Linked DNA regions of Arabidopsis thaliana. The protein of the gene in region 1 purifies or fractionates together with the protein of each later gene. This does not show direct contact. Each region holds a gene or a part of one and is shown on either strand. Other genes may lie near its edges. The genes, in order: AT5G35910, AT1G60080, AT2G07110 and AT4G32175.

The links.
Region 2: the proteins of AT5G35910 (region 1) and AT1G60080 fractionate together in Arabidopsis thaliana (co-fractionation; one large-scale study listed by BioGRID). This does not show direct contact.
Region 3: the proteins of AT5G35910 (region 1) and AT2G07110 fractionate together in Arabidopsis thaliana (co-fractionation; one large-scale study listed by BioGRID). This does not show direct contact.
Region 4: the proteins of AT5G35910 (region 1) and AT4G32175 fractionate together in Arabidopsis thaliana (co-fractionation; one large-scale study listed by BioGRID). This does not show direct contact.

The regions. Positions count from the first base shown.
Region 1 is NC_003076.8:14,029,464-14,037,193, reverse strand, and holds AT5G35910 (Polynucleotidyl transferase, ribonuclease H fold protein with HRDC domain-containing protein), read left to right. Parts: upstream 1-1,700; 5' UTR 1,701-1,788; coding exon 1,789-2,481; intron 2,482-2,878; coding exon 2,879-3,034; intron 3,035-3,359; coding exon 3,360-3,518; intron 3,519-3,599; coding exon 3,600-3,683; intron 3,684-4,183; coding exon 4,184-4,263; intron 4,264-4,344; coding exon 4,345-4,395; intron 4,396-4,477; coding exon 4,478-4,586; intron 4,587-5,213; coding exon 5,214-5,296; intron 5,297-5,470; coding exon 5,471-5,516; intron 5,517-5,610; coding exon 5,611-5,698; intron 5,699-5,799; coding exon 5,800-5,969; intron 5,970-6,280; coding exon 6,281-6,460; intron 6,461-6,540; coding exon 6,541-6,639; intron 6,640-6,708; coding exon 6,709-7,323; 3' UTR 7,324-7,620; downstream 7,621-7,730. UniProt on the Arabidopsis thaliana protein: Acts as an important epigenetic regulator through multiple silencing mechanisms. Involved in association with RRP6L1 in the silencing of the solo LTR locus. Controls levels of non-coding RNAs (ncRNAs) from the solo LTR locus.
Region 2 is NC_003070.9:22,151,729-22,156,679, reverse strand, and holds AT1G60080 (3'-5'-exoribonuclease family protein), read left to right. Parts: upstream 1-2,036; 5' UTR 2,037-2,234; intron 2,235-2,327; 5' UTR 2,328-2,340; coding exon 2,341-2,500; intron 2,501-2,584; coding exon 2,585-2,634; intron 2,635-2,714; coding exon 2,715-2,784; intron 2,785-2,863; coding exon 2,864-2,969; intron 2,970-3,064; coding exon 3,065-3,131; intron 3,132-3,270; coding exon 3,271-3,346; intron 3,347-3,613; coding exon 3,614-3,921; intron 3,922-4,003; coding exon 4,004-4,075; 3' UTR 4,076-4,450; downstream 4,451-4,951. Other genes in the region: BGLU4 (beta glucosidase 4), read right to left, coding at 1-140, 220-307, 392-463, 541-616, 697-746, 831-894, 970-1,098.
Region 3 is NC_003071.7:2,952,062-2,955,037, reverse strand, and holds AT2G07110 (exosome complex exonuclease RRP46-like protein), read left to right. Parts: upstream 1-1,829; coding exon 1,830-2,061; intron 2,062-2,124; coding exon 2,125-2,225; intron 2,226-2,308; coding exon 2,309-2,428; downstream 2,429-2,976. Other genes in the region: AT2G07120 (F-box associated ubiquitination effector family protein), read left to right, coding at 316-390, 447-1,433.
Region 4 is NC_003075.7:15,533,592-15,538,144, forward strand, and holds AT4G32175 (PNAS-3-like protein), read left to right. Parts: upstream 1-1,842; 5' UTR 1,843-1,963; coding exon 1,964-2,014; intron 2,015-2,097; coding exon 2,098-2,172; intron 2,173-2,308; coding exon 2,309-2,395; intron 2,396-2,770; coding exon 2,771-2,827; intron 2,828-3,208; coding exon 3,209-3,301; intron 3,302-3,411; coding exon 3,412-3,484; intron 3,485-3,568; coding exon 3,569-3,644; intron 3,645-3,732; coding exon 3,733-3,946; 3' UTR 3,947-4,011; downstream 4,012-4,553. Other genes in the region: CYP96A2 (cytochrome P450, family 96, subfamily A, polypeptide 2), read left to right, coding at 181-1,701; PANK2 (pantothenate kinase 2), read right to left, coding at 4,133-4,225, 4,310-4,381, 4,481-4,553.

The DNA.
Region 1 (7,730 bases):
GATTTGAGTTTAAGTTCATGTTTCAGTTATCATGTTTGCGTTGAAGAAGTTGCAGGTCTTTCTCTTGACTTAAGTTCATTTTCTGTTTCACATTTGAGTTTAACTTGTTACAATTATGTTTCAGTCCTGACTTTTGTTTTAGTTTGGTTCTGTTTTTATGATCCTTTTGTTTTAGAGCTATCTCAGATTATCTTGCTTCAGCCAAGTAGGCTGCAGTTCTTCAGGTTCTTTTACCTGCAAATGTACAAACTGAAATCGATCAGATCGGAGCGAAACTGGATTCTTCTGTAGCTACTATCACTGAGAAATCGACTAGTAACTCCAATCACATAAGACATTTCCTTGATTCTGTGTAACAAACTCCTCCTAACAGTCTATCTGTTACAGAATCTTTGGATTTTGAAAAACAAATGTATAATAGTCATTTCTGTACTCGCAGGAGAGTGGCGCTTATCGTAGTTTCAATCGTCATGCTTGTGGTGACTTTTCTTGGTCTCGGTAATGTTTTCATCTTTGACTACATGTTTCTCAACTATCAACTAATGTATTGACCTTAGTGATCTTGTTATCATTTCTTCTCCTGCAGTTTCTTCGATTTGTACTGCAGACACATGTGTGGCAATGAACGAATGGGTTGAGAGACCATCAAGCAATACGGCTCTGGACGAGATATTGCCTTGTACAGACAATGCCACAGCTCAAAAATCCTTGATGCGTAGCAGAGAAATGCCTGCGGGCCGACCCGTATATCCGTTGGGCTTTGCGGACCGGACTTGGACACTGATAATTTTGTCCGCGGTCCTAAACGGACCAACCCGTCGCGGCCCGAAAAAAGAAAGCCCACTGCGGGGCGGGCTAGATGGGCGTGGGCCGGCCCGTCTGACACCTTTAGTTGACGAGATCAAAAACAAAATTGACTAGATCTGTTGTTTGATGACGCAAGCGGAAGGGCAAGTGGACTCCGTCGTGCACTAAAATTGGTAAGTACATTCCTAACTAAGAAATCTAGTTATTACCAACATATTCATTAGTTTTAGATCTTGTTCTAAAATTTCCGCCTAGCTCCGATTACTCACCACTTAATTGCACGCTAGGCTTATTCTATCCACCTCGATTAATGACTAATTTCTTCAAAAGATAACATCCGATTACTTTTCGCCTAAATTTGCATACCCAGATTATTTTTAGATTGGAAATATAAAACAATTTTTATTTTTATTATGCATACATTTAGATTGAGAGTTCCTGATTAAACTTTATGCCCATACCAAGCCCCCGACTAACACATAACGTTTTTTCGAACAAAGATTTTAGTTTTTGTTTTGTTTTTTTGTCGAGAGAACAAAGAGTTTAGATATATATCCATTTTCAAAACCTTTTATATAGTGTGAGTATGAATTTCGTCTAATTAGTTGAATTGTTTGAATTCGTCTAACTAGTTGAGTTTTTTGAATCCCCCAACCATTTGGAATTTGTCATTGCATAAATATTGAGATTTCATATATGCAATGAACAAAGATCTGATTTGCTAATTTTTGGTTTTGGAGTAGCTAATTTATCCCAAACGAGTAGGAAATATCCTTAAAAATCTTTAAAATAAATATTTATATATTTCGATATATCCTAGAATTAATTAAATACCGGATATTACGTTCTTGCCCTTAAGTGTATATACTAAAACAGCTCCACAGTAGTTTCTCATTGAATAATGTTCCTAAAACCCTAGCCAAGCCCAGAGATACCCTAAAATCACAATTCTCTGATTTGATCTTTTCTCCAGCGGAGATAATGAGCGACGGTAACATGGACGTCGACGAATCACCAGTCTCTTGGAAGGTAAAGTCTCTGGAGAAATTAATCGATGGTTCTTCTTTCTCTTCGACTCTCTCGAGACTCTCATCGTCTTCTCGCCTAATTCCAACGAGTAGAGATTTTCACTTTTACTACAATTTCGATGAGTTCAAACGCCCAATCGATGAGATAACTGGAACCTCGCAATCAACTCTTGCAACGATCGGTGATTCCGAGCAAGTTTGGGGGAAATCGATGAAGTTTCCTGGCGATGTTGATGACGTATATGCGGAGGATTGGTTATGTAACGTGAATGATGAATTGATTGAGAGATTTGATGTTTCTGTTGATGAGTTTCAGAGGATTAGGAAGAAAGAGAAGGAAATTGGTAGGTCTGTTGTTGCTGATGATGGAGATGATGGGTTTCAGATGGTTTATGGGAAGAAGAAGAAGCCTGTTGGTAATGTGGTTACTGGCTCGGCAGCGGTTAATGGTGGTGGTTCTGTGATTGATGTTAAGATGGCTGAGAGGGATAAGAATTCATCTGGTAAGGCTAAAGTTCCTTTTCATGTACCAACTATAAAGAAGCCTCAAGAGGAGTATAACATATTGGTGAACAATGCGAATCTACCGTTTGAGCATGTTTGGTTGGAGAGGAGCGAGGATGATCTGCGGGCTATGCATCCTTTGGTTAGTGTTTTGTGTTTTTTAGAGTTATCTGTTTAGTTGTTGTGGAATAATATGGTTTGAACTTTGGATAGAGTTAGACTTTATTTGAAAATTGGCTTGGTTTAGTGAGGATGCTACCAGTATAGTGTAGAATGAGAATTTCTATTTGAATGTAGTGAAGTTATTCTTAAGAACCTGCCCTGTACTGCCAATAGTGTTGTATTTTGGTTAGCATTATCTGTGTTCTTAACAGCCACATTAAGACTCTAGTGTCTGTAAGCTTACCGTATTGTATTGATGAAAAGGTGGCTTGGGAAAAGATCTGTTTTTAACTTTCTTAGGGTTATGTTTTGGCTGTCAGTATTTGGCCTTTTCTTGGCATTTTTCTCTCTTTTTATACGTTTATTATACTATGCAGGAGAAATTTTCAGTGCTTGACTTCGTTGACAAAGATGTAAACGAGATGGAACCTGTGAAGCCCCTTCCACTGGAACAGACTCCATTCAAGTTCGTCCAGGAAGTGAAAGATCTGAAAGAATTAGTTGCCAAACTGCGTAGTGTTGAAGAGTTTGCGGTAAATTTCTTTTCTGATTGTCTTTAGTAGTCCAATGTGCAGTCTGCAGTGAATTGTTTGATCATAATGTCTCTTGGTAGAAGTAGTAAGGAATTTGATGATCCTATCATTATTACATAATGGCTTGCTACTTGGTTATACACTTTTACAGAGTTTCTTTAGAATAATACTGAACTACCAATGTGATAGTTACTTCAGCAATTTGGTTTGGAGAATATAAGACTTCTCTCCTTGATTAGATAAGCCAAAAAAATATATTCAAGTTTGAGTTGCCAATGCTTATTTCTCCCCTTTCTCTTAAGTTTTTTGTTTTTGCTCTTTTTAGGTTGATCTGGAGCATAATCAGTATAGATCTTTTCAAGGATTGACATGCTTGATGCAAATTTCCACCAGAACAGAGGATTATATAGTTGATACATTTAAGCTTCGTATTCACATTGGGCCTTATCTAAGGGAGATATTCAAAGACCCTAAAAAGAAAAAGGTTTTTCCTGGGATACTTCAATTCCATTACAAAAGGTCTAAAATATATTTTCTGTGCTCTGAAATCTGTTTATGTAATTAGGTAATGCATGGAGCAGATCGAGATATTATCTGGCTTCAACGGGACTTCGGCATATATGTCTGCAATCTCTTTGACACAGGACAGGTTTGATTTTGTTTCAGCGATGATCTTCTATTTTTTTCTATGACATTTCCTGTAAAACATAGGAGATCCAGTATCCATAACATACACCTTTTGCTTTATGGAAGAAGAATGATGGCAACATATTGGCTTTTGAATTTAATATCCCGCTTTCTTCTTCTCTTTTCCTTTATGCCTGGAAAGAGAAAATTAGAAGTTTTCTTCCGATCAAAGTACACTGAACTAAGCTATTTTGAGAATGGTTTTAGCTAATTATACCATCAAAGGGATAACTGGCAACGATTTGCACAACTCTGGATTTTTCTTGTCCTTTTAGGAGATAATTTCAACCCCCTCCTGAATTTTAGTAACTTGTGGTATGTGTTGTAAGACACAAGTCAATTGGTTTAGTTGAATAGCTTTGGATCTCATACTGTGGCGACTAAGAAGCATACATGATACATGAAAGAAATTTTAATTATTTAGCTTTTTTCCCCTAAGTAGAAACAATTTGATTTTTTCAGGCCTCCAGGGTTCTAAATTTGGAGAGAAATAGCCTGGAGTTTCTTTTGCAGCATTTTTGTGGAGTGACTGCAAATAAAGAGTTAGTACTAGTCCTATCTGGATTTTGTATCACTCTCGTCTATCACTGGACTTCCAAATTCTGATTTGTTTATTGCTGTAGGTACCAAAATGCAGACTGGAGAATAAGACCCCTTCCAGAGGAAATGACAAGGTCAATCTTCTCTGTCCTTTGTCTTTTCACTACTGTTCTGGCCTAAGTTGACTTGAGCTCACATTTTTGGATTTCCCTGCAGATATGCAAGAGAAGATACCCACTACCTCTTATACATATATGATTTAATCAAACTAGAACTGCAGAGAATGGCAAAGGATGACGCGCATACTGACTCTCCTCTACTTGAGGTAGTCATCATTAAACTATGCTGAAAAGTATAATATTCCTCTGCATGTTGGTATTTGCATGATAGATGTATAATTGTCTTTGCTAGTGTCTGCTTGGTTCTTACTATCTTTCTGTTACTTTCCCACACTAGCAAATAGGAATTTGTGTAGCCTTAAAAAACTTGATGGCATAACATTGTTAGTGGAAAATGATATGTGGCCAATCACTTAGGTTAGGCTAAGTTTTCAGTATTCTTATTTTATTAGCTGCCTAACTTAAGTGATTCTCCACATTTGCAACATTCTTATGTTTTTTAAGAGCGATTTTGGGAGGTACTGGGTTTTCAGTGTTCTTATTATATACTAGCTGCCTCACCTAGGTGATTTTCTAGGTTTGCAACACTCTAATACTTTTTAAGAATAACTTTCAATGGCATCCGTCATGCATAAAATAGTTCTCTGTCTGAATTGACTTTTGTAAGCATAGTCAAAATAGAATTTCCTACCACATAATTTGGAATTCATGTGTCTAAAATTGGTAATTCAGCTCAACTGACTCTACTTGTCTAGATATTGTTACATCCAGTGGATATATAGCCCATGAATAATATGTTCTTTCTATTATTTTTGTCTTACTGTTTCTTACAGGTCTACAAGCGGAGTTACGATGTGTGCACACAACTATATGAGAAAGAGTTATTGACCGAGAATTCATATCTTCACGTATATGGGTTTGTTGCTTTTTCTTGAGAGGGTCTACATACTTATTTTATTTTGTTTCAGCAGACAAGGTGTATGCGTTTGTTGATTAAATCTGTTAATCAAATTGTTGTTTTAATAGCTGGCTTCTCTTGAGCTAAGTTACATAAACCAGTATTATATTTCTCATTCTGGCATTTTGTTAGGCTTCAAGCAGCGGGCTTTAATGCAGCTCAACTTGCCATTGTTGCGGTATGATGTTTTCGTGTGATGTGAAGAATGATGCATACTTACACTGCTTTTTCCTATACTATTTAAAGCTAACTTAAAATTTACTTTCTCTTAGGGGCTTTGTGAATGGAGGGATTTCATTGCACGTGCGGAGGATGAGAGCACTGGTTATGTATTGCCAAACAAAGTTCTCCTTGAAATAGGTATATAGAGCTGAGAGTTCAATTTTACCATCTGGCAGAGAGTGGATTTGTTTTGGCAATTCCTAAGTTCCTAACGTAATCTAATGTTGCTATCCTAATAGCCAAGGAGATGCCTGATAGTGTTGGAAAATTGCGTCGGATGTTGAAGTCAAAGCATCCTTATATCGAGCGTAATGTTGATTCGGTGGTCAGTGTCATCAGGCAATCAATGCAACATTATGCAGCATTTGAGTCTGCTGCTCTATCTTTAAAAGATGTGTCTCCTGGAAATGTGAGATATCTCTATTGATTTAGTTTCTATTCCCTTTTTGTATAATTATTATTGTAAGCTTTCGGTTGAGGTGTATAAGCTAGTTGAAAGCCGATTAGGGTATTAAAAACCCTCTAAAACTCAACCTGCAAAGAAAACAAGAGCCTAGAGTTGGAATAATTTACTGTCAAAGACTAATTATGAATCCAAATTTCATATTTCTGAAACCTCACCTTATGGCTCGAATTCAGAGTGCATGTGATACTTATTGGTTTCAACTGTTTTCCTGTATTCTCCATGTCTGTTTAAAATGTGGCCTTCTTATATTGTAGGTAATGGATAAGAATATTGAACCTATAAGTGAGAAGAAAGACCTGCACACAGGAGATGTGGCTTCTCCAAGTCTGAAGGAAAATTCTTCGCAGCTTGAGAGTACCAGGGACCTAATTATGGGTGCAGCAAATACTAATGAAGGGAGAGGTTTAGGATCCGGCTTGTTTGGTTCTGCTAAGGTGACACCTAGTTGTTTCTTTTGGTTGGTGCTCTTTAGTATCCATGCCGGGCTCTCAAAGACATATCTGTTATTTATTAGGTTTCTGCGGCTGTTCGGATCTCTAAGAAACCAAGCAGTGGTTTAGGAGCTTTGCTGGGAAATGCAGCCTCCAAGAAGAAATCTCGAACTGATGAGAAGGTGAGTTTATATATGTGAAAACTCTATAGTTGGTTTTGGTTGCAGAATGATTGATAAAAATGTTTTCAGGTGAAGGAAGATGTGAAGCTCGAACAGATAAGATCATCTGTAAACCTGTCATTCCATTCGTTTACAGAGAAAGTTCCTGACTCAAAGTCAACTTCTGAAACATCTCCGAAAGTTTATGGGAAGCCTGAAGAGATGTCCAGTACTATGCCAGCCTCTGTTTCCAAGGAAGATGGTGTGAAAGAGTTGAAAGATGATTCAGAAGAAGCCTCAGAGATCGTTGGTACTTCTGGTAGAGTTTCAGAGTCCAAAGTGTCTAGCTCCGAGATGGGCGATATTATACTACTAGAAAATGGTGATGAGAAAAAAGTTGACGCTGAAGATGAACCAATGTCTCTCTCGGAGTTGTCCACAAACTTTCAGAAGTGCTTTAAATCCATGAATAAGAGCAAGAAGGCCCAAAAGCAGACCGAGTTTTTAAACATAGAGCCTTTTGATTATGAAGCTGCAAGGAAAGAGGTGAAATTTGGGGAAGGACACAAGGGAAGACAAGGAAAGAGAGAAGCTGCAGCAGGTCAGAAGAAGGGGTCTACACAGGAGCAGTCAGAGTTTGGTCAAGGAAAACGGCGTCAAGCTTTTCCGGCATCCGGGAACCGAAGTATGTCCTTTAAAAATTGATCTTCTGGCAGTCAATATTGATTGATGGTTCTGTTTAAGATCATTTATTTGTTTTGGTTGTGGGCTATGGTGAATTTTATGTTTTGATCGTTTTCATTTTATCAACTTCATAACTCAAACTTTGATGGGACTTAGGGATACAAACTCTTAGCTCAAACCATCAAATCTGATTCATAGTTAAGATTATGAACCAGTCTCCTTGTGCTTTTATATATATATCTAGTTTAGTGTCTGGCTTGAAGTAGTAAAGTTCTTGTTCCAGTCAATTGTTTTACTCAACTTTCATTCTCAAGTTTTATCTTTCGAAAACTGAAGCTAATCTCTCATCTGATTGATCAAATAATCTATATGTTTTAAATGATCTTCAAATGTAATATGGTTATAGACTAATCAAAATAAAACGAAAC
Region 2 (4,951 bases), on another chromosome or scaffold:
TGGAACAACGACCAGGCGGTGTATCCCCATCGTTGTAACCTCCTATAGAGAATATATTAGCCTCGTTGATCGTGGTCCATAGTTTGACATGGTTCCCAAACTCTCTGAAGCAAACATCTGCATAAGTAGTAAAGTCTTTGCTGCAATGGCAAATAACATCAACTTTTGTTATTTTATCTTAAACTACAAAATCTGTAAGAGAAAATAAGTAACGCCTACATCATTCTGTGGTTGAGCCATCCTCCATATTCATCCTCCAGAGACTGAGGATGATCATAGTGGTAGAGTGTAACATGTGGTTCAATTCCTGTAGTAAGTCTACTTAAACTCTAGTTAATACGAACTAAACCTAACTCTTGAGTCCTACCGTGGATATGAAGATAGGTCTTACCGTGGCTTACTAACTCTTGGATGAGGTTCTTGTAGAACTGTAGACCCTTTTGGTTAACAGGCCCTCTTCCATCTAATCAGATAATAAATTACGAACTGATCATAAATTTGATCCCTTCACTGAGCTATAACATGTTTAAGAAAACTTACTAGGTATTAGCCTAGACCAAGAGATGGAGAATCTGAAAGCATCTAAGTTAGTGTCCACCATCAACTTCACATCATCCTGTATAAATTCATAATGAAACTCAGGCTTGATGAATAAAACCTCATGATGTAGTCAGAGAAACAGAGAAGCTAAAGAACCTTGTACTTGTGATACCCATCACATGCTATATCTCCGTTACCTTGGTCACCTGCAATGTTAGAAACAAGAATCAAAGCACAAGAGTGACAAACTCTAATACTAATAATAGTTTGTGTTAAAATGAAAAGCTTACGAGAGTGACAAAGAGTGTCCCACAGGCTAGGTTTCCTTCCGTCTTCTGCAGCAGCTCCTTCCCACTAGTAGAGACCAAACATTTGGTTCAGTTTTGTTCAAAAGTTAAGAAAAAAGAAGCTCATAAATTGGTTCCAAACCTGATAAGCAGAAGTGCCGGCTCCAAAGACGAATCCCTCAGGGTAGTCAGATCTGCTGAAAACGTCGCTGCATTTCCCGGAGAAAGCAAAAGCAAGAAAAATGGCAAACAGAGCCAAAATCTGTTCCATTTCTCACACACACACACACTCTTTTCTTCGTTCCATGTTAGAATAAGTAAGTCCAGTAGCCATTTGCGTACCCGCTAGATATAGTTGTGACGTAGACATTAATGATGATGCAATTTAGATAAGAAACATATTGGGAAGTGTGTTGAAATGAATTATGGTCTTTATTTACTATGATAAGAAACAGATTACGCTGGATCGGAGCCCAGGTCTGACCAACCCAAATAACGAAAGAAACTAGGGGACCGGAAAACCATGCGGCTATGCAGCCCCAGCCCCACATATATGAGGGCTTTTGGGCCAAAAAAATATTTTTGGACTTTTTGTTACATTTCAATTTTTTTTGGGTATTCCTAAATTTTTGTTAATAGTATGGACTATGATATAATAACTTTTGAGGTATTAAAGTAAAAATATTTGGTCCTCTTATAAAGAAAAAAATATTTTATTTCATAAAACTTAATAATTATTACAAAGCATAAAATATTAAACATACATTATCTTAAAATTTTAAAATAGATGTGAAAAAAACGGAATAACGATAAGTTTTTCTGTTGATTGTTGCAAATTTCAATATACGAATACTTATAACGATGTTTTGAATTGAAATTTTCTACGAATACTTATAACGATATATATAGTAAAAGAGAAATTTCTTAACTTATAATTAAACACCATTAAGTAATGTATGGAGGATTAACAAAATTGGATATAAAACAAGAATGTATAATGTTCATTTTGACGCCATTTCTTCTTCTTCATATTTTACAATTTACACTAAACATTTTCCCAAATTCAGCTCATAATCAAGTGCGCCTCATATTTTCGCCAAATTCATCTAATTGAAAACCCAAATTTCAATATACTCATGTCTTGTGAAGCAAACAAATCTCTTATTTCGCATTTCTTTGGGCTTCGCAACATTATTGGGCTTTGTTTGGGGCCCATTTAGAATGAAGAAGTACTTTAGTTAAAAACTCAGATAAACCTAGCCGTCGTCACCGTCACCGTCTCCGTCGAAATCCCCATTACTTACGACACCGCGAGCTCTCAATCTTCTTCTTACACTCTATTGCTTGTGTTTCCTCTTCACTACAACAGTTTCGTGTACCAAAGGCAGTTCTTTCTTTTGTCCCAAGGTAAGCTTTGTGATTCCTTGAGACTGTGTTGATGAAGCACAGACTCAGAGACTTTTGGTTTATGATTCTCTTTATCTTTGTGACATGAAGCAGAGCTAAAGAAAACATGGGAATACCAGATGCAGCTCAAGACTTGTCGACAGAGATGGAAGTTGATGCTTTTAGAAGAATCTTCCCTCTTCGTTTCTTTGAGCGTCATCTCTCTGAATCTCTTCGTCCTGATGGAAGACAACTTGGAAAAGCTAGAGACACCATTGTTAATCTTGGTATAAACAATGAAGATTGATTCTTTTTAGTTTTTATCAAATTAAAAATGTCAACTTTATAGTGGTTTCTTGTGTTTGTTGTAGGACTTGTTTCAACTGCTGATGGGTCTGCTCTTGCTAAGATTGGTTCCACTGTAAGAACCCGCCTTAGTCGTTTCGATAGTATTCACATGATCAGCAATGTTTTGCTTACATAGTTGTTTCGTGTTTATAGACTATGCTTGCTGCTATTAGAATGGAAGTTATGACTCCTTCTACGGACTCTCCAGACGAAGGATGCATAGGTTGTTATCTCGTTGTCTTGTTCTCTATGTGGTTTGTTGTTCTTCTTTGGTGATTCATTTTGTGATTCCTTTTTGGTAGCTATTGAGTTCCATATGCCTCCAATTTGTTCTCCGACTGTTCGTCCTGGAAGACCAGCCGAAGCTGCTCCCGTTATTTCAAAGCGTTTGTCTGATACTATTTTAAGGTGTGTTTTGGTTTGATCTTTCTCTTTATATTTTCTCTGTCTCATTGAGCATCAAATACAATGTTCCTTCTAAAAGTGTTTCTTTTTTGTTCTAGTTCTGGTATGATTGATCTTAAAGAACTGTGTCTAGTTAGTGGAAAAGCTGCTTGGATGGGTTATCTGGTGAGTACTCGTTGGTCTTATATCGGTGCTTGTCCGTCAGTTGATTCACATCTATTCTTCTAGGGATCTTTCTCTTTGATATTTAACTGAGTTCTCTAGCATATATATGAACATTGTTGCTCTCTGAAATTTCTCATAGGACATATATTGCCTGGATGCTGATGGTGCTCTCTTTGATGCTGCTCTGCTTGCTGCTGTCGCAGCCTTCTCCAATCGTAAGTTCTTCTCTGTTCTCATCCTTTAGTTGGTTTCACAGCTCCTTTAGAGAACCTTTGAATAAAGCTGATTCTCAAGTTTATCAAATCCATTTCGAATATGAGTAAAAAGAGCAAGCCTTAGAGAACACTTAAATCTTGCTGAGTGAGTCATACCTGAGTAATATTCTTCCCTGCACAATAGCGGTTTGTTCAGAAGTTGTGTGATTGGTGTTCCGAGACAGAAGAATTTTTCCTCTGATGCATAAAATATCTTTTATATTGCAGTGCAAATTCCAATTGTTGCTCTGAATGACAATGGAAGAATAGTTGCCGTCACTGGAGAAAAAGATCAAGACAATGCTTTGATCACCGAGAAAGAAGCAGTGAACAAGGAGAAGAGAAAACTTACGCTTAAGAACATTCCTTTCTCTTTAACTTGCATACTTCACAAGAACTACATCTTAGCAGATCCAACAACCGAAGAAGAATCGATCATGGACACTCTTGTGACTGTTGTTTTGGATTCCTCGGATCAAATGGTTTCTTTCTACAAATCAGGAGGAGCTGCTCTCGCCTATTCATCAGCCATCAAGGTGAGAGTTTTAGCTTTCTCTTAGGTTAATCCACCACTTGATTTACACCGTTTTTTGTTTCTTATAAAGTTGCTATGCGCAGAGCTGTGTCGAGTTAGCAAGGAAGAGAGCAAAGGAGCTTAAGCAGATATTGGGAGAGATGGATATCGACTAATTTATCAGATGGAACGATTCCATAACATTGTTGAAATTTTGTGTTACATATTTTAATCAGATCACCAAGTTACCCATTTAGAGGCAAAGGAAGAAGCTCTTCACCATTTTTGTTCGATTGTGTTACGGTTTTGTTTGTCATATAACGACTTTAATTTAGTGCTAGTGTAAGTGTGAGATTATATTATCTCCATTTCAAACGAACCGAAATGTGCGTAAGCTGATTAATTTTACAAATGTTCAAATCAAAAGCAATTAACAAGTTTGTTTGTTGACCACCATCGCAAGTTTGTTTTTGATTAGGCTTTTCTGAATTTTTTTATGTTATAATGTAAGGGTATGTTAAAATATTATTCCATTTAAAAGAGGCATTGTAACAAGAACCATTCTGAATCTGTGAAAGAAATATTCCATACTAGACGAGGAAAGTCCTCGAGAGACTAATTAAATACTAAATAACATAAAATCATTCTGAATCTGTGGAAGAATCATATGCTAAGCGAGGAACTTCCTCCAAAGACATGAGACTCTCAGTGTGATTATGATAATAGCGGACCTCTCTTACATTTTTATGATTAAGCTTCCAGAATTCTTCGTCACCAATTCCTTCATATAATCATATTTGACCCTCCTTACTAGGGTTCTTTTTGGATCATAATATAAGACATAAATTGCTTCAGATGTTGTTGCAGCTGTATAAATAAACTCACCAGTGGATCATGAGTAATACCTCTCAGCCCCCAAGAAACTTTCCAGATCGGGTCACGTTGAGGAAATTTTCTAAGTGACCGTTCTTGTTTCTCTTCATCCTCCAAAACCCAAAATCATTTACCAGAGACGTCGTCAGAGCAAACCCATGCAAATTTTCCTTCGTAGT
Region 3 (2,976 bases), on another chromosome or scaffold:
TTTCTTTCTTTTTTATAAACAATTTAAAGAATAATTGTTTTTTTATTTATTCCTCAAATCTATGTTTTTAACTTCTTATCCTTGAGAAATAATTATTCAGTAATTTTATTATTGGAAGATAAATCTCTTTCCTAAATAATTATTAAGAATTATTTGACATTTACTTTTAAGAATTATTTAATATTATCCCCAAAAAAGGGTGTTATTTCATTTTCGTAACAGATAAAAATATTCCTTTTCTTATTTATTTGAGTCGTACACGCGGTGGTATATATATAGATTCTCCTCTAAAGCCACCGAAGTCGGAGAAAGGTAATGGCGTCGGGGAAGCTTCCGTGGGAGTTGGAGGAAGAGATACTGTGTCGGCTTCCACCTGGATCCCTTGTTCGGGTAAGATCCGTATGTAAACACTGAACGATCTTCTCAACGACAAATGGTTCATCAAGAAAAGCTTGGGTTGTGCACGTCCCCAATTTATCATCCTGCCCGAATCCAAGATTTATTCGATAGGAACCATCGGCCTGGACGACTTTGATCCGAAGATAGAGGTGCGTGAGCTAGCCTGTCAATTTCATTTTAAGGCTGAGAAGTGGGCATTTACCAGGATCACGGCTTGCGATGGATTATTGTTTCGTGACTTTTGGAACCAAGGGGTTACCATTTGGAATCCATGGTTAAGACAGGTTGGGTGGATCGAGTATAAGGAGGACAGAGATTTCCGTTTTTGCGGTGTAGGATACGATGCTTGTAAACCCGAAAAGGATTACAAGATCTTTGGGTATTTTAGTCGTTTCTATGACACTACACTGAAAATCGGCCACAGATTTGCGATCTTTGAATGTGCGTCTCAAGCGTTTAAGTTCATTGATTCCCCGGAATGGCCAATGCTGGCAGGTCGAGGTGAATATGTGTCCTTGAATGGAAATTTGTATTGGACTGCTTACAATGAAGATACTCGTGAGCATTTTCTCGGAAGCTTTGATTTCTCCACAGAAATATCCATGCACTTTTGTCTCCTTCCTTGTGGGAAGCATGTTTCTGGCTTACGAGATAAACTTGTCCTCACTGTATTTAAGGGCGATCAGTTTGCATTGTTAAAGCAATCTCGTATATCAAGTAATACAGAGATTTGGGTAACAAATGACATGATTAACTCTAGTAATAATGTGGTGTGGTTAAACTTGATGACACTGTCAATACCTGATTTTCCCTCGCTATTCCATCAGCTTTCTGATATTAGTTACTTCATCCATGACATGACCCTTATCCTGTGCTGTGACGACAATCAAACTGGAGTGGGTTGCATCTTTATTGCGAGGGGAGACTTCTGCAAGAAGATTCAAATAGATTCTGTCTCTCTTGGGTTTTCTCAATGTGTCCATCTTCCAAGTTTGACCTCGGTTCCTTTGGAATTCAGATCACTGCAAGTTTAGAATTTCGATTTTTCGAGTACAAACAGTCTTTGAAATGTGATTCTTTTTTCATGTCTTTTATATTATACTAGATAAATACCCACGTGTAGCGTGGGTTTGTTTTGAAAATTGTGAAGCGTGAGTTTGTTTTGAAAATTGTGAAAAACAATTATTGATTGTTTTTGCTAATTTATGTTTATTTTTTATTCGTTATTATGTAGTTAATTAATAAAACTAAAACTATCTTATGTAGTTACAATTTTTAAGATTATATCTTTTTTTTTTACTTGAAATATAACTCGTGAAAGACTTACTTGTCAGCTGAAACCTCTTGCTTATTCGCGTAATATCCTTCATCGTCCTCATGGCTCTCCTAGTTGGTCAGAAGGTACTTTATCAGCTTTCTCAATATCTATTATGGGTACAAAGTTGTTTTTATCCTTTTTGAATGGGATACATGGAACTCTCTCGTTTATATTTTCAGAGGATACAAAAGTTCTATCTGCGCAATACGGACCTAAAGCAAGAACGAAGAAGAACGAAAATGCTGAGAAGGCTTGTTTGAAGTCATATGGAAGCCTTAAACCGGATAGATTGGTAATCGTAAATGCGTTTAGTTTTTCAGAAAGAGGCTTGTTTTGTCGCTTGAGTATGTAGTACAGGTGATTCTTGGTTTTTAGATGTGAATTTCTTTTGCTTTGAATATTGATAGGAAAAGTTGAAAAAGAGTATGAAACGATACTGAAAAGGACGCTACAGAGTATTTGTGTTTTGAGAGTTGTTCCAAATACCACCACCTCAGTGATTATTCAGGTGAGTAACTATTCAATGTTGTGTATATATATATTGTCAACTTGAGTTGTATCTGATGTTTTCATTTTGTAATTTCTGTGTAGGTTGTACATGATGGTGGTTCTGTATCGTTTTTATGTTCCTTTCACCTTGGTAAACATTTACTAATGCTGTCTGAAACACATATAATCCGGTATAAACAATGTCTGTTTGAGTATTTATAGAGTTTATAGTAGTGAAAGTTTGTAATCCCATAAACTGAGAGTGTGAATATGTTTTTGTGTAACTTCTACCGTGGCCTCCATTCTGGCAGTTAGAAGGTATTAAACGTTTGTTCTAAAGAAATATGATGTACAAAAAGGGAGACTATGAAGGATAGAATTTACGAAGTCGAGAAATTTACCTTGAGATTCTTCTTCTTTCATATTGAACGATCTAGCAGAATAAAAAAAAAAATACAAAACAGTCATACAAAACAGTCTTTCAAATTACTTGTTTTCTTAGCATAAATCTCGAATAGCTTAGATATATTTAATTTGCATATTTATTTAGTTTTTTCATAATAATCATCTAATTTTTAGGCAAGGAATATGTGTATCATGTTTGGATTTTATTTTTTTCTTCAAGATTAGTTTAAAAATTAAATTAGTTTTAAATATTAACTGTTAATTAAAATAGTTAAACTAATGATTTTAGAAATGAGAATTATTTAAAATTTTTAAATGAAAAACTCAAACTTTAAGAAATCATTTCTTAATAATTTCACTATTAC
Region 4 (4,553 bases), on another chromosome or scaffold:
TTAATACAAGTTTCTAATTTGATGATATACATGCATTAAACGTGCTTTGCAGTTTGTGCATATAACGAAATTTAGTGTGTATTTTAAAAAGCATCTCCTTACTTGTGCCCTGAAGTGTATGCTTATAAATTTAGTTCTCATTGTGTCAGCAAACTGTGTGTTATCAATTGCCTTACTCCAATGGCTTCAATAAGCTTACTTCAAGTTTCCGTAGCTATCCTTTGCTTTCTCATCCTTCATTACTTTCTCTTCAAGAAACCTCATGGCCGGTACCCTAGGAACTGGCCGGTTCTCCGGATGCTACCCGCTATGCTCAAGGCGCTTCACCGAATCTACGACTACAGCGTGAAGATTCTCGAAACCTCTGACTTGACCTTTCCATTCAAAGGACCGCGGTTCACAGGAATGGATATGTTGCTCACGGTTGATCCAGCTAACATTCATCATATAATGAGCTCAAATTTCTCAAACTACATCAAAGGACCGGAGTTCCAAGATGTTTTTGATGTGTTAGGAGACAGTTTCATCACCACGGACTCGGAGCTATGGAAGAATATGAGGAAATCTTATCAAGCCATGCTCCATAGTCAAGAGTTTCAAAGGTTTTCAATGAGTACCATGACAAGTAAACTCAAGTACGGTCTTGTTCCCCTTCTTAATCATTTTGCTGAGGAAGGAACAACTCTTGACTTGCAAAGCGTCTTCGGGAGGTTCACTTTCGATACAATTTTCATCCTTGTAACTGGTTCTGATCCTAGATCTCTCTCCATTGAAATGCCTGAAGACGAATTTGCTAAAGCTCTCGACGATGTTGGAGAAGGGATTCTTTATAGGCATTTTAAACCAAGGTTCTTGTGGAAGCTGCAAAACTGGATAGGATTCGGACAAGAGAAGAAGCTCACTGAAGCTAATGCAACTTTTGACCGCGTGTGTGCCAAATACATATCAGCCAAGAGAGAAGAGATTAAAAGATCACAAGGGACTTCCAATGGAGGAAGTCAGGATCTTTTAACTTCCTTCATAAAGCTAGACACGACCAAGTACAAGCTCTTGAATCCGAGTGACGATAAGTTCCTTAGAGACAACATCTTAGCTTTCATTCTAGCGGGAAGAGACACAACAGCCACCGCTCTCTCTTGGTTCTTCTGGCTTCTCTCTGAAAATCCACATGTGGTAGCCAAGATTCATCAAGAGATCAACATCAACACTGATCTATCAAGAACAGGAAATAGCCAAGAGAATGTAGACAAGTTGGTGTATTTACATGGTGCGTTGTGTGAAGCAATGAGACTCTACCCACCAGTTTCCTTCGGACGCAAGTCTCCAATCAAATCAGATGTGCTTCCAAGTGGCCATAAAGTTGATGCAAACTCTAAGATTATTATCTGTCTTTATGCATTGGGGAGGATGCGAGCGGTTTGGGGAGAAGATGCATCGCAGTTCAAGCCAGAGAGATGGATTTCGGAGAATGGAGGCATAAAACATGAGCCTTCCTTCAAGTTTTTGTCGTTTAATGCCGGTCCAAGAACTTGTCTAGGTAAACATCTAGCTATGACTCAAATGAAGATAGTGGCAGTGGAGATATTACGAAACTACGACATTAAGGTTCTCCAAGGACAGAAGATTGTGCCAGCTCTTGGTTTTATATTGTCAATGAAACATGGTCTTCAAATCACTGTTACTAAGAGATGTTCTGCTTGAAATTATTCATGTATTAAATAAAAAAATCATTTTGGTTTGGTTTTGATTTGGTTCTTAGTTTTTTTTTTTAGTTTTACGGTTTAAGTAAACCGAAATCCTAATATTGACTGGTTCGGTATAGTTTTGGTTCAAAATTTGCGTGCAAAAAAAAGAAGAGACTGTGCAGTGTTGTTCCTTTCTGGGTTCTCATCGTCGTCAAGGAACAAGCTTTAACAGAGTTTAACATATATTAGGGTTCTTATCTCCAAAACCCACCTCACTCATGGCTGCCAAAGTTTCTGTCTCTCCCACAAGCCTCTTAAATCAGATTGTGGTCCGTATATCTCTAAAAAGTTGGCTTTTTTATGATTTCGATTCGATTTGGTTACAATGAAGCATGGTGTTTTCAATTTTTAGGTTCCAGGTGATGTTGTTCTTGATTTGTCAAACATGAATAACCAAACAATCAAGCTCGGAAGTGGCCTTCTTCAGGTTTCATCTTCTTCTCTTTCTTATGTGTTGTTTGAATCCTAACAATTATTCCAGTGGGCACTTGATTTGTGATATACAATTGCAACTAAAAAGGAATTGTAGATTGACATGTGTTTGTTTTTTTGGCTTATTTTAGGATAATGATGCTATCTCTGCCATGAGAGCTGGCAAATTAAGTTACTCCAAGCCTAATAAGTATTGGCTCGAAAGTTCTCATAAACGGGTGAGCTCAGTGGTCTTACTAATCTTCCCTTTCTGGTTGCTTCTCTATTGAGCTTCTTGTGGATTATAACTGTGTCATCTGCTCGGATACTAGGTCCACTTGATTAATCATGAGTAGAAAAGTAACAAATAACCTGGCACAATTGCATCATGAAGAATTGAAGATTTGCCTTTTGTAGCATTTTGACAATTTGATGCTTTTGTGGATCATTCTTGCTAGTTTTCTCCCTAGTTATTTGATCATATACATCTGGCTTGATAAGACAATTTACCATTTTTGGTTTTCAAAACTCTAGTAGAATATTGTTTTGTTAATTATCTATGTAAGTCTCGTTCTCTTTGTTGCTGACTCTGTTATTATGTTTTTTTTTTGCAGTATATACCTCGCCCTGATGATCATGTTCTTGGAATCGTGGTCGATTCTAGGGCAGATGTAAGTCCTTTGAAATCATTGCTTGTATAGATTCTTGTGTTGTTTTTGGATCCCTCTCAGACTGGTCATCTCTGAAAGCATTTTATTATACTTTAGTTGTCAAATACGATACAAATATATGTTTGTCAGTTTCCGCGACTTCAGTCCTCATTTCTCTGAGCCAATAAAGGTGAACTTGTTTGTTGATGGTCTTGGATCAGTAAATAAATAGGTGGGAGTATTGAAGTTATGGTCTAAAATCAGAAGAAAACTGATACCATTATTGGACAAACAAATGTTAATTGACTTTTAAATTATCAGCTGCAGTTAAGCTTTCTTGCATGAACTAACATCGCCTTAGTAAGTACTGAATTGTTTCTTTTACTCATCATGTCATTGCAGAATTTTTGGGTGGACATTAAAGGACCTCAATTAGCACTTTTGCCAGTTCTTGCATTCGAAGGAGGAACACGAAGAAATATTCCCAAGTTTGAGGCATGTACATTCTGATGACTCAGGAAGCTCTCTTGAATTCTCATTTGGGATATGACATTCTCTATGAATTGATTGTTTCTGGAATGTTCAAATTTTTGTGTACTAAACAGGTAGGCACTCTGCTTTATCTCCGGGTTGTCAAGACAAACATAGGAATGAATCCGGAGCTGTCTTGTACCGAGGGTAAGTTAAAAGCTTTGGAGGCTAAAACAGTGCTGCTTCTCTTAATCCCTTTTAAACTAATTGTCTCTTGTTTCTATGTATTAGCTAGTGGGAAAGCTGCATTATTTGGACCCTTGAGAGATGGTTTCATGTTTGAAACTTCAACTGGTCTTTCAAGAATGTGAGATATACTTCCTCATAAAAAATGTCTCCTTATACTTTATCTATCTTCTTTCGCCATTACAACTTTACTTTCTCATCTCTTATAGGCTGTTGAATTCACCAACGCGCCCGGTCATTGAGGCTCTTGGAAAGAAACTCTCGTTCGAGATAGCTGTGGGCTTAAATGGCAGAGTTTGGGTAAATGCGACAGCTCCACGTATAGTCATTATCGTGGCCAATGCAATAATGAACTCGGAATCTCTAAGTGGGACTCAGCAGAGAATCATGGTTGAGAAATTGCTCGCGATAATTTCAGACTAAACGTTATTGTTCTTGAAATGTAACTGAACCCTCATGATGCTCTTTATAGCAAGTGATTTTGATTCATTCAAATACAATTTTATACAGTAAAAGTGTAGTCTAAATAAAAATACATATGCCACATGACGAATGCTTAATCTGTATACAACAGTAGTCTAAAGGTTGAAGAAATGATACATAACATTGTTAAAGCGAGGGAGGCTCGTATCTGCATACACAATCATATATGTTTCCTTTTATCAACTTCTCAGCCAATCTCTGATTTTTAACCATTGCTAGCTGCCAAAAAGGAAGAGAAGGTTTCAGCCAAAAGTTTCAATAACAGTTCTAGAGCTGAAATTTTCTGTCAAGTGAGGTTTAAACCTTGAGAGCCTCGCATTGGAATTGAGCGTTGAAGTTGGTGTGAAGTGCTCTTCCCATACCTTCCAAGACAACCTGCAATATTGTTAAACATCAAATAAAGAACAAAGCTTCTCTTTTTTGATGTGTTTGAAGTTTATGTCAGGTAGAAAACAGAGAAGGTTTTGTAGATACAAGATCAGCGTCTTTGGCAGCGGCTGCAAGCTCAGAGCTGACTTGTCTGAGGTCGATACAAGGACTTCCACAT